Linked DNA regions of Styela clava. The protein of the gene in region 2 purifies or fractionates together with the protein of the main gene of each other region. This does not show direct contact. Links are inferred from orthologs where the notes say so. Each region holds a gene or a part of one and is shown on either strand. Other genes may lie near its edges.

Region 1 (10,083 bases), on a different chromosome or scaffold from region 2:
ATAGTAAAGAAATTTTGACAGCATTAGTCTTTCATATTGTGAGGACGGACTTTTTTTCTTAAACAAAGTATTGCTTCCTTGTTGCTGTTGAACTAATTCTTGATAAAAGTTACGAAACCATTCCCATTCTGATTCTGGAAAATTAAAAGGAAATATTGAAAGACAAGGTCGGAATCTGAATAGATATTGGTTATTTTAATGAATGTCTCATGTTTGGTACAATGGTGGATTTCTCAAACTTGACCCCAGTCTCCTTTTGGTGCTATGAAGCGGTTTTCTGGGAGGCACAAGCAAAAGCCTTCACAAATCACAACATAGTATTCAAGACGACCACATTAATTTAAAGTAAACCGACTTTGATTTGTTCAATTCTTTGACTTAAATGCATTCATATTTTCAAGTCTCATTCGAAGTTTGGCGAATTTCTTGAATTTCCATTCTGTGTCATCAAATGTTTGTACCATGGTAAAGTTCAAAATAAATTATCTTATCTAATTCTTACATATTAAATAATCACTTGCAAACTCAAGTAGACAAATACTTCAATATAGGAAAGTCAATAAAATTTAAATTGGAAATTGACCATAAATTGAAATATTGATGCATAATAGCAGATAAGAAAATGCAGAAACAACTTCCTTTTACTCTCACAAGTCACAAGACATAATAATGATGGCTAGAATGAACTATATATTATATTTAATGTAACAATAAAAGCATGGATTATAACAGGGATGTGCAACCTGCGACCCGCAGGAAAAATGAGGCCCTCAAGAAAAAAATTATACAGCCTGCTAAGAGGTGCCAATTTTGAATGACACTCATCCTAAATAAAGGTGCCGCCCGCAGTTTCACCAAGTTATTTATAACTAGCTCTCTTGTATTGCACTTGCACACTCCTGGATTATTACTTGTCGATTTTAATCGGTAAGTATGTTGATAGGTGTTTGTCTGTCTGTTTGTCTGTTAGATGCACGCGAAAGGGAGATTGAATCTGCTCCAGATTTTGCATGTGCATTCATCATATGTCGTACCAGAAGCCTATTGATTTTGGATGAATTATGTCGTATAATTAGCGAGTTATTAATAATTAGTGATGGGACACAAGGTGTCATTATGGAGTAAGAGTGCTGTTTTGGGGGATCCCCTAACTTTCAATTCATAAGTCTTCGGTCTCAGACCGATATTCTCGTATTATGCTTTGCTGGTAAGAAACAATTGATACATTACATTCAAAATAAGATGTCAAACTTTAGATGATCACATTCAATTGCAGATTAAAACAATACTTGTTGAATATGAGGTATTCACTATTTACTACTATATAAAGGTCCGTAAAGTCCCTTTACAATTTCCATTTTGTTATGAAGTCAGTTCCCAATATATCTTACTAACCAGGTTCGTTGTTATTTAATCAATAATTGTTTGAGTATTTTTACCTCATTTATTAATACATCTGTGAGGGCCAAAACGACATATGGGTTCGATAAATTCCCTTCGCTATTTTAAAAAAATTTCAAGACTTTATTATATATACAATCATACAAGTCTCACCCTCAGCAGTGAATCTTTTTATATCAAAGTTTTCTAATAACAAGGTTCTACCAATCCTGTGTATTGCCATGCTTACATGGGCCTTGTTATACGGCATCTTCAGCAATTTCTTGATATTCTGAAAAAGAGAAATACAAGTTAGTTATAATTCTCAGCAGTTTTCAAGATAGGGTTCATACCTTCATTACTAACGGGGTTCTGGACAAATAGACACTAATATGTCATGAGCTAATATTTTCAGAAAAACTCGTATCTTTCTCAAGTACAGTAGGACGGGGTTGAGCATCAGGAACTGAAGGTGTTCAAAAAGACATGTTTCACATTTGTGCTATGTGACATATTCTATATTCTAAAAATTCACATACAAGGGCTTGAAACATTGCACATGAAAGATTGATTAAAACAAGGTTACAATTATTCACTCACATAAAACATACAGAACTCAAAGAACTTATTGAATTTAATGTTTGTAAGATGAGTATGTGAAAGTTCGTTACAAAACCAGCAATTGTAGCACTCGAATTGCAATGCAATTGATATGTCGATGCAGATGAAACTAATTTTAGACAGAATGATATAATTTATATAATAATATGGTTTAAAAAGTTCTATTTACTTCAAGAACGATTATATATAATGTGAACATAACACAAACCTCTGCATCTGACACAACATCTACTTTGCCGACACTATCAAGGTGGCCACTCGCCATACTGAATCCACTGAACGAACGATTTGGATTACTTGAATATCTGCCACCTGGCAACACAGTCTCTGGGCGAAGTCCGACCGTTTTTCGAAGCCAGTTTGAAGGTGCCAGATTCAAGTTTGTTTCTGGAGCGAGATGGGAGAACATTGCATTGTTTTTTGTTGCTGAATATGCTATGATGGCTGATGACCTGCAAATGTTATGAATTATTTTATGAACTTGCTTATGACATTACATTTAAAAAAATAATGCATTGTATTTAGAGTTAACCGACTATATCAGAGTAGATGATTAAATATAATCTTGAGTTTAAATTCCACCCCACGCAGAATGTAGTAAATTGTATAATTTCCCGCAAAGCTTAGTGCAGTGCTTTCCTGGAGATCTTTGATCAATTATTAGGGAGCTTTCAAAGTTAAGTTATTATTAATTAAGACTACTTCGAGAGTTTAGTATTTTTAGTCGATGAAATTTTGTAATATTCATTCAACCTCGCCTTAAAATTCGTTTATGAGTTTTGGTGGGTGGTGTAGCCAGTCTGCTAACCCGTTAATTTTTTTAACCGTAGGTGCATTGGCATTTATTCTACACGCTAAACCTCGAATAAACTTTCTACGATCAGGGGTTAAAGCTATACAAACTACCAAGGTACGACACTCAGAAGATGTATTTGCGACCGAACGACCAGTGTGCGATCACGGATTTCAAGCCATGAACATTGTTTCTGCTGCGTCGATGCTAGAGCATACGCAGCCATGCGTGAAAAAATTGGACTACTAATTGCATTTCTGGCCGTCATATATTTTAAGAACACGGTCATTTCGAACAAAACTCGTCAAATTATATACAAAGCACCGCATCACAGCAATCAAACAGACAAAAACACGGTGGTTGCAAATTGGTCAACAAAGATATTATCGACGTATTGGAAATCGCACCCTCCTATTCCCCCTCCTTTAAATGTAGAAGCGCAAAAATTTAAAGATGGTTAAAAGAAATACAACTCTACCCCCTTGCCAAATTTCATCTTTTTATTTCTTATAGACCTATTTGTATGGATTTTCAAGTATTTTAATGGGACAATGGGTAGTTGGCGACATGAAAAAAGGTCCTTTATTTTTCTTCAGTCGAGTTTTCAATCGTAACTTTTTTGTTTGTGGCCGCATTTTAGTGTAATTTCGCAGAACTATGAGGAACAAGTGGACGATACCGCATGAGAAATATCGTCGCGGTTCGTTAATTTTTTCAGCCTTAATTAGATCGATGAAGTTGATGGCCGCAAATAGGTCGTGGCCTCAAAGTGGGTAAGCCACCCTACGTCTTTTCTTGCTTTGGGGATACGATGCTTTAAAATTAATCCAAGCACAAGAACACACACTTAAAAAAAAATAAAGATTAAAATAGCTGGCGGTTTTTCCACAATTCAGTAATTTACAGAATCAAAAGCATGAGCTAACCTAACAGAGGGATTTCCTTCTATTTTGTCCAGTGTTTTGCTTGTAGATGGTTGGGAAACATCCGTTTTTGTAAATCCAAAATGTCCAGTTTTCGCCGATATATCAAGGAAATCCCCGTTTGTACATCCATTGCCATTTTCATTCCGCTTGGATGACGATGAATGGGTAATTGGTGGAAAATATTCATCATTTTTGATGTAATGAGACGAACAATCAGGCGGAGGTTCCATGTTATAGATGTACTGTAAGCGACAATGCGCTTCTATGTGTCAACAATCATCTAAACTTTCTATAAAACGAAAGTCAGACTATACAGGAACTTGAAAATTATTAGAATGTTAAGAATTCTATTCCGGAAAATGCAATTCTTCGGCAATGTCACTTGCCATTTCTTTTCGTAATTTGAAACAACAAAGACATCACCTCGTTACTTTTCAAATTATATTTTAAAGAACAAAACTAACATGTATATTGAATTTGTTCTCAAATCATTTTTATACTGTCCACATGAAATTACTCATATTTTTTCGATAATAAATGTTACTGAGTGATTTAACATTATTAAATCTGGCAACAATATTTGTACGTAGAACCTCTACTGCCTCTATGCGTCATAAAATTTGCAGAACCCTGATCGCCAGTGGGCGACGTTGAGATATCATCAGAACAGTCAAATACTCATGCCAGATTCACCTGTGAAAGCAAAAAAAATTGAAAGCACAAAATGTTTCCTTATGTTGAAATTGATTAATTTTGTTGGTTTCAAGCAATACATTCATAATATAATCTTTTTATATATTAAGTATTCAAAATAACTTGTTTCTATAATCATATTGTATATTTTTATAGATTAATTCTGGCAAGTAAAATTCAATCGGTCGACCTTGCACAGAGGTGTGTGTACTACCTACCTTGTAACTTTGTAGACGCGTTTTCTTCACTTGTTGGTTGGTCCGTTTCGTTTCGTTTTAGTTATAAACATGGCTGCGAATATTACGAAATTGGTTTGTAGAAGGCTCAGCACGTCTTCGGCTCTTCGCCAAGATTTGGTGAAAACGCCAATTCCTGTGTTTGGAATATCCGGAACTTACGCACACGCATTATATTCAGCTGCTTCCAAAGCTAAAGCAAAATCAGAGGTCGCGCAGGATTTAACCACATTGCAGGAGATTTTGAAGAATCAGAAAGTCGCTGATTACATGCATGATCCATTTGTTGAAACATCAAACAAGTTAGGCCTCCTGAAAGAAGTTGCTAGTAAAGTCAAAATGACATCCACTGTTGTCAATTTCTTCGGAGTATTAGCTGACAACAGACGTCTCAATCTTGTGGGAGAAACTGCTGAAGTATACGCTCGAATCATGAGTGCAGAAAGGGGAGAAGTTCCAGCAACAGTTACCACGGCAACAGAGATGGATGTTAAGCAACGAAAAAATCTGGAAGCAGCATTAACCAAATTCTTGAAACCGAATGAAAAATTGATGCTGACGACAAAAGTTGATCCTACAATTCTTGGTGGCATTATTGTTGATATTGGCGATAAATATACAGATATGAAATATGTTGATATGTCCACAGCTAGTAAAGTTGCCTTGTATTCAGATTTAATCAGACAAAATGTTTAATTTAGCATTTCAACTCATCTGCTTCTTTAGGACGTTTGTTTATAGAGTATACTGGATTTTTAATGTGATATATCTTTTAATGTATCGCTTTTCAAATATGCTACGGGATAAGAAATATCATATTATCAATTCCATGTTTGTATTTAATTTGGCTTCTGTCTCATGCACCCAACAACCTAGAATTTATATTTTATAGTGCATGAAATATTTAATAATTTACGTATCAAAAAAATTCTCAATTTAGTTCATTGCTTCTAAGTTTCATGCCTATTTAATATACTGTTTCGACTGTATTTTACAATGATTGTCAATTTCTGCATTGATATTGGTTTTCTGCCACTTTTCTATGTGATTGAATATGTTCCCATACATTTCTGCATTTCTTGGACCTGTTTTGAATTGATATTGAATTTGATCCCTGTATCTTGTGTTTAAATTTAGATAGATATTAGGTAAAATATAGGTTAAAAACATAAGTTTTGACAACATGAAATAACAATGAAGCTAAGAGTAAGATTCGAGAAAAAGACGAAAATAATAACTATTGAAGATGAACCGCAACCTACATTTGAAACTTTGAAGTCAGCAATAAGAGAAACTGCGTTTGGAGAATGGGGAATAAATATTGATGCTAGTTTTCACATTAGTTTGGATGGTAAAACATGTGCAGGAGAAGGAGAAAGTAATTTAAAATCAGCAGGAATTGTATCTGGGGATCTCATCAAGGTCTTGCTTGGTGATAATGCATTGGTTATGGGAATTTCACAAACTTCTGTGGAAGAAAACACATCCTCGGTTACTCCTGTGATGTCTGAAATGTCCGTGGCTTCAGAAACCTTTGAGCAAGATCAACCTGGTCCATCAACAGTTACTGAAACAGAAACTACAGAATATATACCTTGTTCATCACCTGGTCCCATATTTTTCAGAGACTGTAATGGTTCATCTGATGTTCCACACTTAGTGCAAAAACTTTATGAAGATGATTTTATTAAAAATGAATTTCAAGCGCTTTGTATCGCTTTGCATTTTATGATGTGTGAGAGTGGATTTTATATTGAAGGAATGACCGAGCATAGTGACATATTACCCCATTTACAATCTCGAATATTCGCAGTAGAATACAGTCATGCAGCAGGCCCAGATTTGAAATTCAATTTCACTTGCAATCAGCTTGGTTCATTCGTTCTTGTTAATGGAGTTGCGCAACCGTGTCGCAATACCAACGAACAAGTCCTAACTCTTCAAATAACGACGAAAGACTATATTCAAAGTTTCACAGCCTCCACTAAGAATTCTAATGCTGCCGCTGTCTACAAGAATTTATCAAAATTGAATCGACAAGTTAAAGAAACGATCGCTCATCCTGCGTTGAATAACATGAGAGAAGAGTTGCAACTCCCACCAGTTCATGGACTTTTGTCGTTATTTCCTGAAATTTTACAACTAATATTTTCACAGCTAGACTGTAAAAGCTTGATATCTTTATCCCAAGTAAACAAAGCATTACAGGACATAACCAATGATGAAAATCTATGGAGAAACTTGTATATAAAGGATTTCAAATCCCATCCCATTAGTGTTGAAAATTCTTGGAAAAAAACATATTCTAAGCGTTTCGTTAGAGAAAAGGAACGTAAACAAGACATGGAGCGCTATTATCGTGATTATCAAACTGACCCCTGGCCCCAATTTCCGACCCCAATTCCTGGTCAACCTGTTCCATTTCCTGATCAGCAACCATTTGGAATGATAGGTGGTGAACATGACTTGCATCCAACTTTTCCTTATGGACCATTTGCAACCCCACCCAGACGCTTACCCCCATCACGACCCAATCACCCAATGCATCCAGATAATCCTCTTCCTGGTTCACGATATGACCCCATATTTCCTGGTGGAGGTTTCAGACCTGGAAGGGGTGGTGGAATGATGGACGCTGATTTTGAAGGGTTTGGGGCTCCAACGATGCCTTTTCAAGGTCGCCAAAGAAGGTCACGACATGACCAGAGATATGGGTTCATGTAAATTAACTTTAAATTCCCATGTTATTGTTACTTTACACTCTTCTCCCTGCTACGTGTGATTTTTTTTCAAATCTGTGTGTTTACAGCAATAATTGAGATGATATAACAAATTCATTTCATGCAACATTCTGTAGGCATCTGTATAATTACAGGATAAATGCAAATAGGAACATTTCCATCACATGGCCCCGTTTGTGTCAATTGTATCAAATAGTAAGCTGTTTTCTAAGCTTGTAACGTTTCCTAAATGACCTAGAATGTTTGTGAATCGTAGTAAAAATAACTGCAAAAGTGGTAAATTCAATTACAGATTGTTAGCTGTGAAGTTTTCACAATTTTTATCTAAACCTTTAGATTGCCAGAATAGCTTAACATTAACATTTTAGGTTACGATCATTTTAACTTTACTTGGTAGGCAACTTGTTTTGAAAATAAGCTCAATCTTACTAGATTTTGATGAATCGTCTATATTCAGGCAATAATTTCGTTGAAATATATTTTTTAGTTACTGATAAATGTTGATTGTGGTCTTTTGTGATAACTCGCCGATCTTCTTTTTTGTGCTGATTTAATTTGAAATTTTTGTGATATAAAACTTCAGTTTCTTTATTTAATTTTACGTTAACATAAGATTTGAGCAATAAATATTCTTTAATGTTTTGTAAATAGATTGACTTTTCATTCTGTGTTTGAAATTGGAATGTTATCACCAGATCTTTGAAGATGGATTTGACTAAAACTAAATTATCTAAGAACCTCGCTCGAACGTTAGAAAAAGATGTAAAAAGGTAGGTAGCATATGAATTGGGTTAGAGTGCTTTGTGTGTTGAGCAACCAATCATTTGTGTTAAAAGCTAATTAAGGTTACAATTCATGTCCAAAGAGTTATTACAGCGAATTCGTATCTCCACTTTGAGCTGAACAGTTTGCTAGCCCCAGCACTGGCTTCAGGTATATAAAAATTTCATCTCACTTAGTTCGAGAAGGCTCGAGTTTCCATCTAAAACTGTGATTGTCTGAATAGCGTAAAAATTTAGATTATCAGCATTCCAATTTGATGTGGCATGTGCAAAAATTCTAGTACAAGTTCAGACTAGGAAATGAGCTCAGCTCATGACTGAAATGACTATCTTGAGGATTTCAAAATTCAATCTTATTAAAAAGCACGAAATTTGACTATATACAATGGACATCAGGAAATATCAGTTCAGAATTCATAAGACATTCAGTGGATTCCTTTCCATTACAGCTTTTCTGATAATCTCACGGAGATGACAGGTTCACTCTCACCAAATCTCCTTCAGTCGAAGCTTTTGTTAGATTCCGATCTTCCATCACCATCATGTGATCTTGGACAAAAGCTGTTGAATGAATTTTTCCATCCACAAGCATCTGATATTGTACTGAAGGTAGGCATTGGGATATATACCAAAATTAATGTTCAGCAAACACATGGGAGGTACCTATAGTTTATAATTTTTAAAACTGTTATACAATTTTGGCATTCTTCATGGAACTGCTTCTTTTGGTCGATTTGTTGGACTCTCCTACACAAGAATACTGGTGTTTGCATTTATGTTGAGTGTATATGTTGCACCACCGATTTTGGCATAGCTTTTGGTTCAAAAAAGTGTGACCTATGTGCGAAGATCAATGGTATCTGAAAAGTAATTATGGTGATTGCTAAATCAGTAATTAAATTGAAGAATTGAAATTCATTTTAACTAGTAGTAGCATGCAATTTTGACAGAATTTCAACCATGAATGAAAAATTCCGGACGCTGGCGACAAGTCATGTTCATTTTTAACAGTTTAAATTATTATGTGACAACAGTTCATCATATATTGCATCATATGTAACAAAAACTAACTAATTATTTTACTGTTTGTGTTTCGCAAGCTTATAACTTTCTTAGAAGGCTTTTTTGAGTTTATTTTAAAGCTGCCCATATTTACCGTGCACATGAGCTCATGAACTTCAATTGCCGTTACTTGATCACAACGTTACTTATATTTAGGCAGAGAACGAATGCTTTCTTTGTCACAAAGAAGTTTTGATGACAAGATGTAGTTATTTCAAAGCAATGTTTCAAAATACATGGACTGAGAAAAACTCAAAAGAAATAACTCTAAGTAAGTTGAGCTAATTCATTTTGCGGACAAATATCTTCGTTGCTATTTCCTATTTCTTTTTGGGAAATGGAAAGTTGGCAGTGCATGGATGGGTACTGCCGTAGTGTGTGTACCAGGTGAGGGTTAGGCCATAATTTGATTTTGATTTTTCTTATTTTAGTTCTATTATAGGCTGGTGACTGTTTGTATTAGCCAAGTGAATATACCTCCTGCGCACAGGTTCCAGCCCTTTACACAACTAGATGTAAAGTAGGCGAACAAAATTAGTTACCTTCAAATTGGTACACACACTTCTGGAGCGCCCATGAATGACTGAGGCAACCATAACCAACCAGTGGTTATTTGCAAACTGCTGTGTGACACAGAGGAGCCCTGAAATTTTGTGTTATCGCACACAAAAAGGATACAAAGGATACAAACAATCTTCTACACAGTACGATTCTGGACTAAACTTCTAATACTTCTTCCAATAAGCGAACTCCAAGCTTGTCTTAGGAGTTGAGTAGGCTATATATACACAGTGTGACCCAAAAAACAGAATCCATAAATTTCTAGGAAGCTTTGCACAAAAGTTATTT
Region 2 (10,641 bases):
ATGTTATAAACCAGGGTGGTCCAAACCCAGGCCCGCGGGCCACATGTGGCCTGCCGCTTCATTATCTGTGGCCCGCGTCACTTTCGGAGAGTAATCGAAAAATCGCATTTCGTCATAAATTATTCAGAAAAATCTTTTGACATACTGTCATCACTATACCACTCAATTAAATAGTGTTAAGGCAGCTAGGGAAATTGCAATTTGAATGATGTGCTTGGCAGTCTTAATTGTTATCCGGCTATCTAACTGGTCGGGAATATTTGCTAACAATATAGAAATCAGAGAAAACTAAATATTGAATGCAGATTCTATTAGCCTAGAATGGCTATGCCTGATAGCTATGTTTGCACAATAAAAGTGTTTGTTTTGTATTGCACTGTTTACCTATTCTTGGCACTATTGTGGCCCGCGGAGCCGACAACCTTGGACCCTCAACTATTGGTTGCACATATGAATTAACTTTTTGCAAATCTCCAATCTCGGACTTCTAAATAACCGCGATGGTTTGTTGTCAATGTTACACAATAAATTTTTTGTAATAAGTTTAACCATTAATGTCTCGGCAAATAATATAAAACGTTCAACGCAGCAGCTGTAGGCAACACACTTACCATCAAAATATTTGAGTGGAATTTGAAACTGTAGGCTATATCCCCAGTGCTGTGTTTTAGCTCAAAAATCATCTTGGACCCTACGGTAAAAATTTCCGTTCAAGGACACAGTTTTTCTTAATGTGGGCCACAAAAATCTTAACGTTCTTGTACATGTACAAATAGAAATGTCAGCGTGAGCGACATGAATCTGACAGAATTGTCATTTAAATTTTCATTGAACCTACAAATTTGGGACTCAATGCTTGCCCGCCTCTGGTCAAGTGTAACCAATCTAGCCGCATCCAATCAAATCCACAAACAGATATGCAGAAATATTTTTAGTTCCACCACGATTTGGATAAATTTGAAACTTTTTGTTAAAAGGTTTGTTTTATTTATTTAGCTTAAGTTGTCATACAGTATAATAAGGCAGCACTTGCGAGCAAAGTCCCAAAACATGAGCATGTCTTATTTTCACATTAATATCTTCCCAAATTTTAGGCAAATAGGTGTTTCATTATTGCACAAAACATTTCAGATGATTTTATGTCAGTGATATTTTTTTAAATTGATAAATCAATCAAACAATATTATGAGACGAAGCAGCATTGGCGGTCTACCACTTAACTATTGTAGTATGTGTACCAAGTTAGGCCATAATTTTATCCCGATTTTTGTTATCATTTTTTATATTTCTATTACGAGTTCGGGGCTGTTTGTGCTAGCCAAGTGAATATATCCACTGCCAATAGGTTCCAGTCCCTTTACACAACTTGATGTGAAGTGGGCGAACAAAATTAGTTACCACCATATTGATACACACACTTCTGGAGCACCGCATGCATGGGCAGTAGAAAACTAAGAAGCTTCATAAAAATTCATCTTGTACGATATTTTGACAAAAATACATCTTTAAATGTGGAAGTCTTTGACAATATAATGAACACTGGAGTACCAGCTTTTACTATTATATTTTCAGAAGTCAAGACATCACCCAAAGTGCAGTTTGAAGAAACCCTGCGAATCGATTTCCCTTCATTATTCTCATAATAAATTTCCAGGCTTCCGACTTTATAACAATTATGCGTATCCCAGGGGGGTGGGTCATCAAACATAATATCCAAATGATCATCAAATGTTGCATCTTCGTGAAATTGTTCAACAATTTCAGAAACTTGGTATTCTGGATAACAAAACAATACAGGCCATATTAGCCTGCCTTTTTCCGCTAAACAATCTAATGATTCGTCTTCAAAATGAACTTTTGCGTGTGAAGGATTGCTGGTATCGACGCTTGATAATGTTAACGAATCTTCCTCAGATAGCAGTTCATTTTTTTCAGGTTTTAAGTCGCTCAAATCCAACTTGATTTTGCGGTTTTTTATCGCATCAATGAGGGCTTTCATTTTTTTCTGTTTCATTCTTTCTTGCGTTTCACGTTTTCTGCGATCCCTTTCAGCAATTTTAAATTTCTTTTGTGCACTTTCTAACAATTCTTTAGCTTGTTTGTGGTCTTCATCAATCGAAACAATCTTTTTCGCCCACCGAATAGTCTCATCATGTTTTTCCAGCGCTTCGCAACACAGAGCACCTCTCAGAAGTGACTTGATTTTTGTTGGTTCAATATTTAACGCTCTGCAAAAAATTTGGTGTCCAATTGTAATAACAACTCTCATGAGTATCAAGTCAAAAACAAAATTTGAGATTGTAATTGAAAAAAAAAGGTTGGAACAAGGGGTACCAACTGGGAGTAAATTGAAACTGCATCAGTGATAAATTTGCTTGCAAGAAGATATATGTGGCTGTTGGTCACATAGAAGATTGCAAAGTTAGTTCCTACTGTCAATGGAATTCACAATTTTTGCAATGAAGCCGCGAGTTAAATATCAAATTAGTATCCTGCCATAATCCTAGACACAGAGCCATTACTATAGTATGATCAGTTTAGAGATTGAAAACAATAACCTACTTGATTGAATCAGCAATTGATGACCGATAGTTCTTCAAGTAATAATTTGCTGCAGCTCGATTAGAATAGAGAGTAGAGTTCAGAGTGTTATCAGAACATTGCTTTCTTAAAGCCACGGTATAAGCCCTGGAAGAAAAGATAATTCATGGGGAATCCTACATAACATCATCTTTAGCATGGTCTATGCAAGTATTCAGTAAGTAAAATGTATATGTGTTAAACAGGTGTGTATACAGGGGGCCAAAGAGACAGCACTTTATAGGGATGAGATTGTTGCCTAGTTTGATAATTCGAATAATAATATTACAAACATTTTACTCTTGCTTGACTTTTAATTTATTTATTCTCATGTAACAAGTGTTTCTAAGTCTCTTTTGACTGTTGAGAATACTTGATCTACTTTTTTGAGTTTCCGTAAAAATTTCGACTTCAATTCAATCAGAGTTACATTCATGTATAACAAAATGAAAATATGCCAAACTGCGCCACCACAGCCCTCATGGTCCATCTCACCTGACTGCTTGGGCATATAATTTTTTCTTGAAATGCCAATTTCCATCTTCTTTATAAGCAAGAGCCTGAGTTTCTGGAGTGTCATCATCATCTTCGTATTTTAGTTGCTGTAAACCCTGGTAAAAATTAATAAAACATTAGTTATATCTCAATGAACAACTGGAAAAAGCAGTTATATATAAGATAGTCAATTTATTCTGAACTAACAAATTTGACAAGGTTCAGCCGAGAACAGGTAATATTTACTTAACCAGTTTGCATCGGTAATTAATGATATAAGACCTTTATAGTAAGTGATTATACATATATCAAAATGCCCAATTTTTTTTCTATCCTTCTCAGTTGTCACAACTTGCGAGTCACAAGTTCAATTGAATGAATTGATTAGACATAAATTTTAAGGACTTTGAAAACGAAACTCGTATCATTTGTAGCATAACTTTTGTGCAAAGCGTCATAGATTATTAAAACTTTTGGGTACAATCACACACAAACAGCAGTTCTAAGTGTTGAATAAATTTGCTTCATTTTATTACAAATAACAGACCTTTGGGCTTTGTTTTTTAAGGTCATCCTGTATATATAACGGTACTCCAGTAGTTTGTTTACCAGGTTAGGCCATAATTTTATTTCGATTTTCCTATTTTAGTTCTATTACGAGTTCGGGAACTGTCTGTGTTAGCCAAGTGAATATAGCCCCTGCCCACAGGTTTCAGTCCCTTGACAACTTGATGTAAACTAAGCGAACAAAATTAGTTACCTTCATATTGGTACACAGCGCCTATATATAACAATAATTACGTTAATACATCAATATTGATTGATCATACCTGAAGCAAAGGACTATTTTCAATCATTTCTGGAGTTGGATCCTTGTCCATAAATGCTGGATGTGTTGCTAGGTACTTCATAAAAAAATAAAGAGAAAATAAAAATTTCAAATTTCTGTGGTCATGACTAACAATAAACTTATGATTCTTTTTCATTTGTTTCTAATCAAGATGGTCACAATTTAGATAAAATACATTTGATAAATAGACAATTTATTTTGGACCTCACCATAGTACAAAAAATGACAACAAAGGAAATTCAGTTGATAATAAATAAAGCACAACTGGTGTGCTATAAGTACTAACCAAAATTTCGGTGCTAAAAATTGGATAAATCCAAAAATATTGTATCAAACTATGACATAAACCTACATTATCGAAGTCATCTTCATCCAAACCATTATCATCTTCTTGAATCGGATCTGGGCTCTTGTTTATTTGTGCCATTATGATGTAATAGATTTATAAATTATTTTAAAAATCTAAGGAAAGGTTTGACATATTATTTGAGTGTGTGTGAGTTTTTTAAAAAGTAAAAATAAAAAATTGATTGGCATTATTTCGATCAGTAAAAGAAGTAAATACATAATCTGTACAAATCCAACAAAAATATTATTTATATACAATACATGTTTCGATCAATATTTTTCAATGTCGAATGTTAGTGTACCTTTGCAAACATACTTGGCTTTAATAAACATAGAAAAACAAGAAATATGATTATCATTAAGCACAATCCAAGTACAGCTCAAAACAAGAGCGCAAATATTAATAAAAGAAGATGCGTGTCTCAAAAATGTACACATTTTGTGTATCGTACTTCAAATGAATACTTTACATTGGGGGAGCGTGCAACATGTTGCCCACTTGGCAGTTTTGAATGCGCAGACCGCGCAATGAATTTACTTTAATCTGGTACATGTGGGTAATTCTAATCCCTTTGCGTCACAAATTCATTATCTATGCCTATGATGTTACAATGCTTTTTACTACTAGAAAGCCTATGAGGCCCGTGATGAAGCCCAGGTATTTGTATCAGGCCCTCAGGTATTGAAGGTTGTACACCCCTGCTTTGACCTTTCGCCAAGTATCATATCATACCTGAACATATCATGATTTCACTCCACATACTTAACTTCAACCATTTTCACCATAATATATATCTATCCTAACTCATGCAACATGGAGATAAAGGACGAGCGTGTGACACAGCATTTTTGAGATAACGCGAAAAGTTGGCCATCCCTATTCTATTTTTAATCTTCTACGAAAATACTCCGGTGCCGCGTCAAACAACCATTCTGGATCAATAACACATAAATCTCTGATATAACATTTCGAAGTATAAATTAATTCATTATAAATCACGTAAGCTGGTTTGCAACGAAAAAGACAAGACGAAGGATGGATTTGAACTGTTTGCCCAGTGGACAGCGCCTTATAAGTCCCGTCATGTTGTAGTTCCGCGGCATTTACAAACATCCCAGATGCCACGCTTTTTCGTAGCTGTGCCATGTCTGTCCTGTTTGAATTAATATCTTTAATTCCGGCTTTAACACACAGATCTCGTAACTGACGTCTTATGTTTCCCGCCATATTTAAATTACGAGTGATAATAAAATTGTCATAGCACCACCCAGCGTCTCCTTTGTATTTTTTGAATGAGTTATAAATGTTGAGTAACATGATATGATCGCCTTCGCTAGAGACAAATTTTTGTTTTGCCGCATGAGCTTCTTCTCGTTTACCATGTGGAACATATAGAATACTGTCAACAGAAAGTAGCGCAACAAGACTGATTGCCTCCTCAGTACACCTGAAAAAAATTAAATTTAACTAATTAACATTGTATAGTATTTGTTATTAAATATGATATGAAATAAACAATTCTTAGTCGACTTGTTGCACAGAAAATTCAAAAATGTGGGAAACACTATGAACAATAAGAAAAATGTAATGCATTTAACCATTTGCATGAAATTATGCTTGAATAAATCAAAGTATCTATTTTACCTTCTATCCGCAGCTGTTGAAGCTAAAATAATCCTTGATAATTTGGGATCCAGAGGAAAAACAGACATTTTCCATCCAAGATCGGTGAGTTGATATCCGCATTTTTTACTGATTGCTCCCAAAATTTGAAGTTGATTCAAAGCATCCTCAATAGACTCCTGATGTTAAACCATAAAGAGAATTAGTAGGTCAGTTTCAAAAGAGCTTTACATGCAAAGAGTTTGAAGGAATGATTGGCAGAGGAGGTGACACAATTCAACAGGATATACTCAAAACAAGTGAAATATCGATCCAAATAAGACTTGAGAAAAAATTTAAAATAGCCTTCCAGAAACTACTTTCATCTTTGAATAGTGAAAATGGGAATTCCCAACCATAAAAGCTAAAATTTTGCAAAAGAATTGAAACGATGCGATAACAGCCAAGCTTTTAATGAAGCACTTAATTCTAGGTGTTCTTGCTTTCTTCTACTGAATAACAGTTAAAAATTTGAAGGACAAACCTTTGGAGGAGGATCCATAAAATCAAAGGTCTGTACATCTGTAATTCCGATTGCCATAAGTTGAAGAATCACACTCGATAAATTGCAACGAAGTATTTCTGGTTTGGTCATTTCATCCATTTCTGAGTATTCTTCTTCTGTATATAATCTATATACTGTCCCAGGACATTCTCTGTTATGAATGGATGTTGTATTATTTGTATATAAAACTAAAATAGGACGGATGTTCTGATTTTTTATTGCTTATCATCCCAAATAGGTGCTCCAGAAGTATGTGCACCAATATGGAGGTAACTAATTTGGTTCGTCTACTTTACATCAAGTTGTGTGAGACAGTCATCGAACTCGCAAAAGAACTAAAATTAGGAAAATCGGAATAAAACTATGGCCTAACCCTAACCTGGTACACATATTATGGGAGTACCCCCAAATATAATCAATGGAGTATTCATATATACATGTTTACAAAAAATACAAATCACATTAATATATCTGTCAACTTTTGAAATTTTTTCGATAGTATTTCAGCAGTATGGATTACAGGCAGGGCTGGGGATCCAGAGCTTGGAGCAGTGATGTTTTGCTGAAGCTTACCATATCAGATGAAGCTGGAGCCAACCCAAAGCTACCAGAAACTTCAGCAGTACACTGCATTTGAACTATTGCTCCATGGAAGAGGTTATATCAAAAAACAATCAATTACTATAGGAAAAGTCGACTATTTCTAAAGTCAAATTCATAATTTACCTTCCAGCCCGACCTGCCCTTTGCCAAGCTTGTGCTTTGGATATTTTCTGAACTGCAAGAATATCCAATCCCGTTGACGGAAGAAAAGACTTTGCTTTCACTCTTCCAGTATCAATCACATATTTGATACCCTGGAAGAAAATGGTATTTGTTTAAAGTATATGAGAACGTTTGACACATATTAGACAAGTGAGATTGCCTGTGAAGTACTTTCACTTTCATGTCATATAGTTTTAAACCTCATTTGAGGTTTTCCAGACTTTCCAGAATTTCTTTCCTTTGTGTTTGTCTTCTATACTGTAGTTTATTTGTACCATGGCGGTTCCATTTATAGTCCACAATATATGAGATGGATATATATATATATATAGAGGATTATTGTTGAAAGGTTTGACATTGAAATATCAATATAAATTAACACAGATTTTAAAAATATCCTTCAAATATGAATAAATATAAAAAGAAAGTTTGATTCACTAAAAAAATAAAAGTCACTAAAATCACTAATAAAAGTCACTAAAAGTCAATCAATTGGTGCTACAAATGTTTCCCAATTTAAAACTGATAGCATCACTATAATTTAGGTTGATGGGAGGGCTTCTATGTTGTTGCATCGGCGAATAATATAATATTACAAATAAACTACAATTAGTAATTAATTATATCTAATTCTGAATCATTATATCATCAATTCAGGATAAGAAAAATAAAAAAATTGTAAATATAACTTGCTTTTATAGTGACAGACGTTTCAGCAATATTCGTGGCAAGAACAATTTTTCTTGCACCTTGAGGCGTCGCGTGAAATGCTTTCAGTTGTTGGTGTTTGGGAAGGGATGCATAGAGTGGATAGATGAGTAACTTTGGAAGGTTTGAAGGAAGGGAAATCGATAAATCTTTTATTGTTCGACACATCGACTCAATTTCTTCTTGTCCAGTTAAAAACACCAGAATGTCTTCTTGAGGATTTGATTCTTGATGGATCTGTTATTAGAAATGTTACAAATCATCCTAATCAAATTTCATAGAAAGGCCAATGTTACAGTTCTAAAATGTAAAAAAAAAAAACTTTTCTGCAAATTTTCGTAGCTTTCTAGACCCTTGAAGACTCTTAAAAAACCATATTTTTAAGATGATGCGATCTAACTTGGCAACTGGAATTTCAGAACCATCCCATGTGAAAATTCCTGGCTACGAGTACGACCCTGGTCTCCAACTCCAGATATCGAGTAGTCTGTAATAATGACTTCGGCTTTTACTTATCGTATATCTCCAGTAAGAACTGCACAGCCCTGACTCTGACTATGTTGCCATTGATAAAGGGAAATTGGTCTGAATACTTTGCGGTTCTACAGATTTCTACATGCCGTTCAGATTTTGCAGACTATACAGCGATTTCAATTCTTTGATCACTCAAAAGATAAATGATCAAATTATCATTTGCAATTTAAAAGAGTCTACCAATAGTCAATGACGCAAAATTATCACCTGAAATATAGTAACTAATGTTGCTCCGAGGTAGTCCGATTGTTTTTCTTCTGTGTATAAAATATCGATTTTATGTAACCGTCCTTCGAGGTAGAGTACAGGTGATTTGTTGAAATATTTTGAAAAATGATCTACGTCCATGGTAGCAGACATGATTATGATACGGAGGCTGTATTTACATAAGGAAAATAAAATACTATAATATAATGAAATGCAGGAAAGCAAGGCTCAGCTATACTACCAGTAAGATCCGAGGTTAGCTCAGCAAACTTCACTGAAAATATTGGCGCTCCAGAGTGTGTGTACCGATATGAAGGTAACTAATTTTGTTCACCTACTTTACATGAAGTTGTATAAAGGGACTGAAACCTATGGGCAGGGGGTATGGTATATTCACTTGGCTAACACAGTCGCCGACTCGTAATAGAACTAAAATTAGGAAAATTGGAATAAAATTATGGCCTAATCCTAACCTGGTACACACACTACAGGAATGCTGCAAAATGTAGAATTCATTATAAAAACATTCCCATGAAATAAATGAAACAAAATCTTGAAAATTTGAGTTTTTCCATTTACAAGAAATAATGCAGAAATATACTTGATTGAAAGATAAATAAAAGAATGATAGTCAGTAGTCACAAATTATTAATTTAACTAAACTAAACCCCCTTGTAAATAAACAGGGGTCAAAAATATAATATAAACAATAAATATCTGAATTTTTGGCAAATATTTGCAATTTATTAGTGTTGAGACATAAATTATTCAAAAATTAGTAAAAACATAAAATAACCTACCCTGGCAAACCTTTCTCTTTTCTAGACTTCTGTGCATCTTTTACGATTCCAAACAACACATCAGTATGAACAGTTCTTTCATGAGCTTCATCTAACAGAATGGATGAATACCTTGACAACAAACTGTCTCCAAGTGACTCTCTCAGCAACATTCCTGTGTAAGCAATAGTTGAAAAATTTTTTATTTTGGAAATCATTTTAAAAATTAAAGTCAAAAGTTCAAGCACCATTTCAGGAAAGTCAACGTTTCAACAGGGAAGATAAAAATTGAAAATGAATATACCGTCTGTCATGTATTTTATTCTTGTTTTCTCATTTGTACAATCTTCAAATCTGACGCAGTAACCGACTTCTTCACCCAACTTAACATTCAATTCAGCTGATACTCTAAAAATAAAATTACAAATCAATAAATTTCCTTTAAAATATCTCAAAACTTTATGGACACCCTGTTCAAAGTTGTGCCATACATAACCAGTACTTATGTCACATAAAAAAAATAAAACCAATTGATTCAAACTGTAGAGTGATTAGTATTTTGCCAAACCCAGAGAACAAACACTAAGGTTCCAAAATACACGAACAGATTCAGAACCGCTTTGAGGTAAGTAAGGGGCAAGCGTACTAACAGCAAGAATGCCCAATTTATGTGGTAATATTGGTATATTTATTTTAATTTGAATCCTGAATTGTGTCAAATTTTAAAAATAGAAATTACAGTTTTGAATACATTCTGGAATAACATTTTTCAAATATAGAATACAGAGTTTATGTTAAAATTGGGTCATACTGAACAACAAATATGATTAGAGCATTGTAAATTAATGGAGATTGATATTCTATTTACAAGGTTAGAAGTCTTGACCATAAAATTCCAAATTCTCAAAAGAATTTTAGTCTAGTTATTTAAAATAAAATATTGCGCAAAAATGATTTATATAGATGAATAAATTGTAGAAAATGGAGTAATCTAAAATATATGATTTCATTGTATGTCAAATTGCACAAATACAATTGCAAATCAAAACATAAATCTGTGGTTTTATAGTTATTCATTTTACATTTGAAGTTATGACAATATTTTCTATTGAATATACTGAAATAACATGAGCCAAATGTATATACCTTTGAGCAATAGTAATCGCTGCTACCCTTCTTGGTTGGGTACATGCGATGCAGCCTGTTT
Region 3 (10,590 bases), on a different chromosome or scaffold from region 2:
CATCTCGAGGCACCATTTACCGCAAACGAAACAGTGTGTGAACATTTGATGAGTAAAAAGTTTTATATTGCGAGAGATACCGAAGGCCAGCTAGGATGTCGTGTTTGCGACGGACAGCGGGCGCCTTTTCTGCTACAATTCGCGACAAGGCACTTGTGCGAGCGAGGATATTTGGCACTGAAGGTTATCAAAACTAAGCTCGCAATGGCCTCGATACGCGTGACAACTTGCGTATTGCGTTAAGTAAAATAGAGCTGTGTATTGGAGATATAATGAAAAGGAAATTTCAGTTACATCAATCTCACTGAGTCAATGGACTGTTTCTAATAAATAGTTGTCTGTATTTGAGTCAAACTGTACTAACACTAAAAACACATTTTGCGTTATTTAGGATTGGGTCGCGAGTATTCCTAAAACTCAAGATTTGGGTCGCGCTCGAGAAAGTTTAAGAACCACTGGCCTAGAGGAACATTAATTTGTCACAGGCCTCCTACAACAAACTTACATTGTTTGTGGTTTGTAATTTTTGTAATGTTTGTAATTTTTAGTCTTTGACATTGCCACTTTTCAATCATAAATTTGTGTCACAGATTCACTCTTTTATCTGTCTTTAGCATTTCGCTGCCGATGAATATATAATAATTCTCACCTGATTCACAATTCTCTGTGAGTACTACAATATGTACCGGCACCTAATCATCATCGTTGTCATGGCACAAATTTGTGATTTAGAGAGATTTACCATGAGAGGTTTTTATGGCCTGAATAACAGCGATTTTAGCAAAATGCAATTATACGCGATATTGCCGACTTTCTCAGTTTTCCAAAAATTTCAACAACCCTTGAATGGACTTGATGGTGGAGGAAACCGTAACTGACTAGCAGTTACATGAACCACTCCACTCTACGGTGGCGAAGAGCCCGGCAATCCTCTTGCACATTATTATCTATTATAATTTTTTTATTGATATCCTGTCAGTGTCACAATTGATTTTTCATATTGTGTTCAATTTGCTTGTTTCAGTTACGGCGACAATGGGAGAGCCAAGTTCTATGGACAAGATATTCAAGTCGAACCCGTCAGCACAGTTGTGAACTTTTCTTCAAGATGGACAAGTCCGCTTTTCAGTGTTGATAGGCAATTTTCGATGAGCTTGATTAATCTGGATAAACTGGAAGGTCTTAGAAAAATCAATTTCAAAATGGATGTCGATGGCAGCAATGAATACATAATTGAAGAAAATTATTTTTTTCTTGACTGGAAATTTCGCTTCCAAAAAACTGAGATTAATGCTACCGGAGAGGGAAGTGTTGGACAAAAGTTTGATGTGAGCATGGGGGATGACAAATTAACACAGAGAACTTATGCTGAGATTTCCGCAGACTTAAAAAATCTTACAGCCACTTTAGGTAGGAACATGATGACTACAGGTATCTCAACACAGATGAGATCTGTCGCACAGAGTCTTGATTATGAAGTTCAGGGCCACCAAGGTGGAGGTCATCCTCCATATTCTGCTAGATCTGTCCCACCGAGACCCCGTAATAATGGAGTTTGGGGCCAACAAAGTGATCAGCCTTCTAATTCTGCTATATCTGTGGCACCGAGACCCCGTGATTATGGTGGCCAACAACATGATGATCTGCCTTCAAATTCTGCTCAATATGCGACTATGATGCCCCATGGTTATGGAATTTGTGCCCAACGAAATGACGATCATACTGCATATTCTGCTAGATCTTTGCCACAGATGCCCCATGATTATGGAAATGGTGGCCATCAGCCTGCATATTCTGCTCAATCTTGGGCACCGAGGCCCCATGATTATGAAATTCGTGCCCAACGAGGTGATGATCGTCATTCATATTCTGCTCAATCTGTGACACTGATACCTCATGATTATGGAGTTAGTGGCCAACAACATGACGATAACCCTGCATATTTTGCACAATCTGGGGAACAAATGCCTAATGATTATATTTGGAACCGACAAGGTAGTGATCAGCCGTCAAATTCTGCTCGATCTGTTGCACATGATTACTCACCGGATGCAAAGCTTCTTCATGAGCCACCTGACCCGGAATCAGTTAACCAGGAAGCGCAAAAGTCATGCTCGCTCAATACGCTTCTCAGTGGTTTTGAAGAATTCGGAGAAGCTCAGTCTCTTTGGCCGGACGTAAATCCACTTCATGAGTTGCTTAACTCGGAATCAATGAAAAAATTGCCTCCCAGTGGGTCTGTCGCAACGGGCAGAGATCTGTCTATTTTACCAAATGGAAAGCTACTTCAAGAGTCACCCGCTGCTAAATCAGTGAAGATGGAAGTGCAACAATCAGACTTGGTTGAAACGCTTCCCAGTAGTTCTGACGAATTGAGCGAAGTTCTGTGTATTTCACCAGATGCAAATCCACTTCATGAGCCACCCAACGCTGAATCAGTGAACGTGGAAGAGCAAAAGTTAGACTCACTCAATACGTTTTACAGTGGGTCTGTTGAATGGGACGAAGATCTGTCTATTTCTCCAGATGAAAATGAGCCGCCTGCTCAAAAGTTTGCTGCGCAATCAGTGAACATGGAAGTACAAAATGCAAACCAGTTCAGTACACTTCCCAGTGGGTCTGAAGAATTACACAGAAATTAGTAAAATCACCAGACTCAAAGCTTTCAGAATAAAATTTTATCAGTGGTGAAATCTGAGTAAATCATCAAAGCAATTTCAAATTATAACTTGAATTAACCTATCTTTTGATGCTTTTGCAGTTCAACTCGTAAAAATGTTAGACCTAACTATGTTTATTATATGTATGTCAAACACTGAATGACCGGCACAATTTCTAATTTATATATATACAAATGTAGCTGATGCAACATGCTCCCACTTGTTGTTTATATCATGGGTTCTCAAAGTGCTTTGTACGAAGCCCCAGGGCTCCGCTAGAGTAACCTGGGGGCGCCTTGCGCTATTCGATTACTTGTCAAAATTTGACAACAGTCCAAATATGACAACGGGGTGGTAATACAAATACAACATTGGGTTCAAAATTGGATATTCTAGGGCACCATTATCTCGGTTGACAACGAGTTTCCATCCATGACCGATTCGTGCATTTAAAATGTCTTGTCATAATAATTTAATTGTGTTCATCATTTCTTGCCTTTGAATCGACATTACCATTATTGAAATGAAAAAATATTTTTACTATTCTAAAAAAATAAAGTGCTAAATTGCCAACTATAGATTGAAATTGTATTTTTGCAATTCTAAAATTTATCAAATTTGAGTTGTTCTTTCAGCGGTGCTGCTGTAGTATGTGCACCAAGATGACGCACAACCTGAACATAGTATGTGCACCAGGTTAGGTTGTTGACGAAAAAATAAATCTCTCTCTCTCTCCCTCTGTTTGCCATCTTAGTGCACATACTTGTGGAGCGCCCTTTCAGCGGCATTAAAATCTCAATGAGTACAATTTACAATTATGCAATCCTTGACCGATGTCTTCATATTCGAATGCCTTGTTTATTGGCTTTAATGTAACCTGTGGATACGTTGACTTATGTTAAAATTACCACGGCAATCCGCGGACAACAAATGAGAAACAACAAAGTCAAGTAAACGGAAGTTTGACATGTGCTTTGTCCGCAATAACAAATTGATTATTAATCTTTGCAATTATCTTATATATCGCCACATATCGAGAAAACGTCGCATGTGGCTCCGTCGGTAGTTTCAGAATGGATAAAAAGGTATATCTGGCACACAATTGACTGTGTTTCGATTTCAGTAACTACGGTATAACATCCATGAATAACCTAACATAACACCAAAGTTTGTGATTTACAATGTCTAGAAAGGCGTTTTTTATCTGTCGCGAGTCTGCTAAAACAAAACTTATCATGTTATCTTTCGTTTTAGTTTTATTATTCTTAACTGACGTTTTCAATTAAAATATTTGGTATATAAAATTTATCTGTGAAAGTTAGATTCAAAAGTTTTAGCATTTAAATAAAATAAAGTTATTTTAACTTACTCAGGAATATCAATCAGTAACTAACAATGTGTTTTTTGTTTTATTTATTTTTTCGAAATTTATTTGTAGTGCTCTGTAAAGAATAGTCAACTTCTTTGTGGGCTCCGTAACATTGAATGTTTGAGAACCCCTAGTTTATATAACCAATTTTGGGTGAAATTGAATGATTTTAAGCCTTTTGTGTATACTATTAAAAAATTTAGTCAAAGAACTAATCTTTCTCTAATACAATGGTTCTCTTACTTTTTAAAATTTGTCAAGTCTCGAGCCCCACCTCAACTAGCTAACAATTAGCTACAAATAACAGATAGTAAGGCAAAAGCCTGTTTTATCCGAAAGAACAATTGAAAATATGTGGATAAAAAGTATATAATAAAATAAATTAAATATCCAAAATGAGGTGAGTAAGATCAAATTTAACAAATATTTTAATTGAATTCACGTTCCCTAAAAAAATTGCCTGCGCACTCCAGTCCATATTGGGCATGGGATTAGCTAGCCCTAATTAATTTTAATTATGATTACCGGTACTGTTATTGATTAAAAGTATTTAAAATAATTTGGACGTTATTTGGCTTGTTGTGGCTTCTATTTGATGAGTGAAGCAGGTCTAGCCCACCTCTTCATACATCCAACTTGGCAATTCTGATTTGGCATTAGGTGACTCCAATTATAATCAGCTTGACAATATCTTTTGAAGAATACTTCTCTATCCACAGTATATTACTCTTGTTGACTAATTTGGTATCCAATTTGGCAATCCTCATAAAATTTTTGATTTAGTGTGGCAAAAGAATTTAGGCCTATTCATTTTTTTTCATTTGTTTGTACATTTTCCTTTTTACTGAGTAATTTAATTGATTTTAAGTCTCGCTTTTTTCACTTCCGACAGTATCATGTCTCGATGATTGTGTGTGTGTGTGCGTGCCTTAATTAGTTTTTTTTTTTACTTTTGGGTGAGCGAACACGTACTACTTCTTTTATCAATACCTTTCCATCTAAAATTTGTTCGTTTCAAACCTTACTCGAGGTTTTGTTTGCTCTCCCGATTCTATAATCAGGTACTTTTAATTTTGTTTTTATCTATTCTTTTATCGTATATTGCTGATTATGTGATCGAAATAAACTTAAACTTTTATAAACTTTTCAAATTAAACTTTAAATTTGTTTTCAGATGTATGCGCTTGATGTCAACTTTATCTGAAAATTGTTCACTTTTGTTATGTAATATTCATGTCAGGATTGTATAACCAACATTGCATTTTTGCTTTTAATCAAATTGTATCTATTCAGTTCACTTAGATTATGCATTTGTGTTACAGTTTTGATTGAAGAAAATATATAATTGTTCAATTTTAATAGAGGAGGCGAGTTTACATATTTATCCTGGGTGAGTGGTAAGGCGATAATATTTTGGGAACCACGTTTTCTCGTCCGATTGCCACTCCAAGTCTAGTATGGGATTAGTCAGCCAGTTGTTTCAGATGCATGGACTCGATGTTGGAGTAAGCCGTAATCAACAAGTGGTTTGGTGATTTACCGGCGGTGTAGTGCATCATGCTAAGCGTTAGGGCCGCTCACCACCGCGCATCTGAATACCCTCGGTGGGTTGGCAGGTTCAAATTCGATGTGAGAGGGATAATTATTTGCAAGAATGCATGCTGGAATGCACGGACTTGGTGAGACACAAAGCGGCATTGAATGCCACGCCACAGTTTACTTATAGATGCCATCGTAAACCGCACGCATCCTCATTCCTCGGTGACGAAGATGGCTGAGACAAAAGTTGCCCAAGAACTTGTTCAGTTCTTGCGGATTTCTACAAAGCCAGAGCTAAAGATAGCAGCGCTGCAGAATGTTGTCGGTCTGACTAATGATGCGAATGGAATTGCTTTCATTTTGAAGTATAAAGATGTTTTTGAGGTAGGTTTGTCACCGGGATACATGTTCACTAAGCGACGTAAGTACTTCTATTAGGCGTGGCACAGCCATTTTTGCATATGTTATTTGTAACTCCCACTTGGCTACGTCATCCAAAAATTACGTCACTACGACCTCACAATCACGTCAAATAGCTTGCCAAAGTATAGCTACGATCGCCCGAAATGGCATCTTCACCAACGATAACGAACTCACTAACGCCAGCGATCTCTCTCGTATCGTGATCGTTACGATGAGAAAACGAGAGAGATAGTATGCTCGATTTCGGGTGATCGTCTGCGCGTCTTGGATGATAGTTTGTAGGGCCTTTTTACGTTACTGTGACGAATGACGTAGTCAGATTGTGATTAAGAATAACATATGCACAAATGGTTGTGCCATGCCAATTAGAAGATACTTACATTGTGTTGTGAACATGGCCCGTCACCGGTATGGTACGGTACCGGTACAATAACGGTCTATATAAGATTTAGGCGCATATTTCAGTACCGGTACTGGTATTAATTTATTTATATTATATTTATATCTACCGGAGCGCTTCTAGGTGGAATTTAATTCCATGTCTTAAGGGTTGACAGCAGTATGCCCAACATAATTATAGTGTTTTTCCTGATAATTGCTTTTATGAGTGTCCGCACACCGAATTTGCGCCATGGTTTTGCGTTTGTTTGTATATTAAACCACTTATCACCTTTTCCGCAATGCCCAATCTAGCAATCAATGTAGTTTTTCATGGCTTGGTTTTTCTTGGTGCTTTCATGGCTCCTTGAGTATGACTATCGTCGCAAATTTATTACATTCCACTCCTCACATTATCTTCAGAATTCTCCATTTTTAATTTATGTTTGTTATGGAGTTTTCGAAATAAACTATCTATCTATCTATAAACTGGTAACTGGATGAGAGGCCATGGTTCGCCATATGTTTGAGCTGTGTTATCGGCTTTCCGCTCCCCCCGGATAAATATGAAATCTTATCGTTATCTTATCTCATATTGCTGTATAAACCTTCGACTAATTCAAACTCAATGACCAAACTTCCATTTATTTCAGGCTCTGCTTTCATTGCTGAAGGACAAAGTTAAAGAAGTTTCAGACAATGCTTACAAGGCAGTGATAAATTTATCAGCAGATGACAGTGCATTGAAGCAAATCATCAATGATTATGACATCATAACAGATCTTATAAAAACAATATGTGACCCAAAATCATTCCATGCTGACGAAGCTTGCAAAATTTTAAATAATTTAACAAGGACGGAAAAAGGAGCGTTGGAATTTTTGAAAAAATGCCAAAAGAAAATAGATAATGATAAAAATGATGATTTTTCTGATTCAAAATTGAAAGAACTTATAGACATTTTTTGTAAAACCAAATTTAATGAAAAGGGATCTACGTTGGATCATATTGGAACCATTTTAACGAATGTCACGCAGACAGTAAAAGGTACTTTTTCTCAAGATAATTTTCATACTTCAATTATTACATGGATTCAATAATTTGTTGCTTTTATTTCTTCAAAACTATTTTGGGTAAGCCATTATAATTTATCTCTGTTCTGAAATATTGTTGAGATCTGTGTTCAAAATTTCCGCTTTCAAATATTATTCTCTGTGGATTAGACTGTTAGAATGTTTCAAGTTTTTAAAAAAAATTTGGAAAATCAAAATTTGTGAATAAACAGTTAAAATTTCATTTTACAGGCAGGAAACTCTTACTGGACCATGAATCTCCTTTGATTGGACAATTACTTCCATTTCTCAATCCTGATTCGTCCCCCTTACTGAGGAGGCGGGGCATTTCTATGACCATCAAGAATTGCTGTTTTGATCATGGCAAGTATCACTGAATCTTTTTTTATTTTAAACGATAATGGCTATATTAGATTTGTTTAAAAATCTTCAGTTATTCCTCGTATCACAGTTTTGTCCACTCTTTAGTTCATGTTGAACAAACTGGTCATCTATTGCGATGATAATTGGTGTTCGGACAAGAGTTTTTGTATGCCATATTATTAAGTCACAAAAGATTCCAACAAGTTGTAATTTTGCAATTCAGAACATCATGAATGGCTTCTCGGAGAAGAAGTTGGAATACTGGAACATTTACTGTTACCACTAGCTGGGGGTGAAGAGTTTTCTGAGGACGAAAATGAGTCACTCCCCCTCGATTTACAATATTTACCTGAAGATAAAAAGAGAGAACCCGATTCCAGTATAAGGATAATACTTCTGGAAAGCTTATTACTTGTAAGTAATGTATTTCTCAGTGTATAATACACACTTTAAAAAATAAGGAAAATTGGAATAAAATTATGGCCTAACCCTAACCTGGTACACATACTAGGTTTCGGTGTCAGCCATCTTTGTTTGGATACTTCGGGGGCACAGAAAATTACGGGTTTCGGGCAGAAGCTTCAGTCATTCACTACCCAGTGAATTAAAAGTGATAAGACTGGCACTCTATGTTAACTTCTGTTGTTGTCTAAGTCACAAAATGTGATTTTGTTCAGTTTAAACTGTAAAGAAATAGTTTTGTGTAAGTGTGTAGCAAGTCTTTTGAGTCACTTATAATACTCGATATTACTCGGAATTTATTTTCCAGCTCTGTGCAGACAAGCCAGGCAGAATGATCCTGAAAAACTCCGGGACTTATTATATTATCAGAGAATTGCACCAGTGGGAAATTGAGAATGGCCCAGAGGAGAACGGAGAACAATGTGAAAAACTAGTGCAGGTAGGTTTTTGACATGACATTTTTCATATCTCCAGTCATTTTTACTTCTGGTAGGATCCAAGTTTTTGACTAGTGGTATTACATGATCCGCAATTTTCCAAAAACCTGATGTCCGTCCGCGCTTCTATAACAAGACCTATTTTTTTATTAAGTTATTCCATTTTCATCAGATATCTTAGAGCCCTGTTTAATATTGAAAAGCCAATAACTAGAAGCAAAAGAATAAATGCATTAGAGTAAAAAAATTCGACAAGTTACGGTCAGTATTCATTGCAAACGGTACCAGGTGAAGGCCTTTTCTCATGGCCCTCAGAGGACCACCCTGTGAACCCATACAGCAAGGGTGGGCAGGATTTTGGATTGGGGCACACAAAAAGGCGGATTTAGCCCTTGGGCCGTAAAGGGATGGAAGCCCAGTTTCAGAAGCCCTGCACAACGGCTATGCTATACTTAGTTGGGCTGAACAGATCAGTGCTGCTAAGTGATACAGTTACTGTCTACAACATGCCCTATATTATTAAATACCTTATAATTTCCTCATTATATGATAAAGCAGTAAAATATAATGCTCAGATATAAGGAACAATTGTCCCAAAGATATATATATATATAGTATATCTTCGGCCATGTCATATGATTTTGATAATCAGAGTCTTATGGCTCTAGTTTTTGAAAGAATATGTCTTGGTCATTCCCGGTTTATGATGAAATGTAGTTTTTATAATAATTGCGAGCCTACTGACGTAGTTATCCTGAATTTTCAAAATTTGGGAATCCCCTTTTAAATTTATTCTTTTGCTTACCCCAACTTTCACCCCTCCCCAATCCAACTTCCACTCTGTCCCCAATTTTATGCTTTGCATTATGTATAAGAGTTGTAGCATTAGTGACGAAACCTCAATTATACTTTTATCTTGAATGTAGCTCTATTGCGCTACCTAGTGTAAGATTAAAATAGTTTTCAATCAGAAATGCTCCCTTGTGCAGTAAAGCATAAAAATCTTTTCCCTAACATGCCAATGATGATAACAACGCTCTAACTTTTTTTGCTATACGAATCTGAGGCATCTTATAGCAGAAAAATAATACACACATAAATGGCTCCCACTCGCCTTTCAAACAGCGAATAGCAAACTATACTTTTGGTCGTTGAATTCTAATTATGCCACATTATTTCAGATACTGATAGCTGATGAACCAGAACCAGGGATGGAAAATTTATGGGAGATTCCAAATGAGAAGTTAAAACTTGATACATAATGGAGATCATACTGTTGGGCATCATTAAACGAACACATATTCACTGTTATAGACATTATATCAGTGCTGGCAAGGATCGGACCCCTGACTCGGGCTTGAAGTGGACTTGAGACACTTTTTATTCACAAGTGCTTGAAGTGACTCAAGTTATCTAGGTGGAATAACCTAGAATTCTGCTAAATTTGTACAAAGCCGACCCTACAAATCGTGACATGTCGTACGCACCTGTCACAGTAAATGGTTGCAGGAGAGAATTAATGCGATTTAGTGTTATCTGCGTAAAGGAATAATTTTTAATGCGAGTATAAGCCAACTAACTCCTTATTAATTTGACAATTTTTTTTTTTGAGTTTCAAAATCAGCTCATATGCGAGGATAGATGAAGACAGAGGGCATGAGCTCAGAAAATAGGTGCTTTGACCATCAAAACACTCCAAAGTCATTCTTTTAATCCTTACTCTTGTAAAAAAAATGTTTTTTTGAACCCAATGGGTATTTTATAAAATCAAAGTATCTCTCAGTTACTGCCTTATCCAGAGTGAAAGATGCATAAGAGAGTTAAAAAAAATCATGACAAAAATGTTTTCCAATTGTATTTTTGTTCTTATTATTCATTTTAATAAT

Evidence for each region.
Region 1: the proteins of tetratricopeptide repeat protein 4-like (region 2) and erythroid differentiation-related factor 1-like purify together in Homo sapiens (affinity purification with mass spectrometry; 3 studies listed by BioGRID and IntAct, counting the BioPlex papers as one, with this or other methods). This does not show direct contact. The link is inferred for Styela clava from reciprocal best matches to the Homo sapiens genes TTC4 and EDRF1.
Region 3: the proteins of tetratricopeptide repeat protein 4-like (region 2) and protein HGH1 homolog purify together in Homo sapiens (co-immunoprecipitation; 4 studies listed by BioGRID and IntAct, counting the BioPlex papers as one, with this or other methods). This does not show direct contact. The link is inferred for Styela clava from reciprocal best matches to the Homo sapiens genes TTC4 and HGH1.

What each region holds. Positions count from the first base shown.
Region 1 is NC_135258.1:7,333,895-7,343,977, reverse strand, and holds the start of erythroid differentiation-related factor 1-like, read right to left. Parts: upstream 4,117-10,083; 5' UTR 3,951-4,116; coding exon 3,721-3,950; intron 2,454-3,720; coding exon 2,210-2,453; intron 1,673-2,209; coding exon 1,555-1,672; intron 135-1,554; coding exon 1-134. Other genes in the region: ATP synthase subunit O, mitochondrial-like, read left to right, coding at 4,701-5,345; F-box only protein 7-like, read left to right, coding at 5,844-7,373; BTB/POZ domain-containing protein 8-like, read left to right, coding at 8,096-8,160, 8,622-8,781, 9,391-9,505. UniProt on the Homo sapiens protein: Transcription factor involved in erythroid differentiation. Involved in transcriptional activation of the globin gene.
Region 2 is NC_135262.1:5,476,236-5,486,876, reverse strand, and holds tetratricopeptide repeat protein 4-like, read right to left. Parts: upstream 4,416-10,641; 5' UTR 4,353-4,415; coding exon 4,278-4,352; intron 3,981-4,277; coding exon 3,906-3,980; intron 3,192-3,905; coding exon 3,076-3,191; intron 2,689-3,075; coding exon 2,563-2,688; intron 2,229-2,562; coding exon 1,472-2,228; 3' UTR 505-1,471; downstream 1-504. Other genes in the region: ATP-dependent RNA helicase DHX33-like, read right to left, coding at 5,151-5,721, 5,919-6,076, 6,421-6,592, 7,168-7,298, 7,900-8,151, 8,656-8,824, 9,456-9,609, 9,739-9,842 and 1 more.
Region 3 is NC_135250.1:1,700,114-1,710,703, reverse strand, and holds the start of protein HGH1 homolog, read left to right. Parts: upstream 1-5,678; 5' UTR 5,679-5,730; coding exon 5,731-5,952; intron 5,953-7,022; coding exon 7,023-7,416; intron 7,417-7,673; coding exon 7,674-7,805; intron 7,806-8,028; coding exon 8,029-8,219; intron 8,220-8,574; coding exon 8,575-8,706; intron 8,707-9,885; coding exon 9,886-9,966; 3' UTR 9,967-10,590. Other genes in the region: uncharacterized protein LOC120337162, read left to right, coding at 1,025-2,642.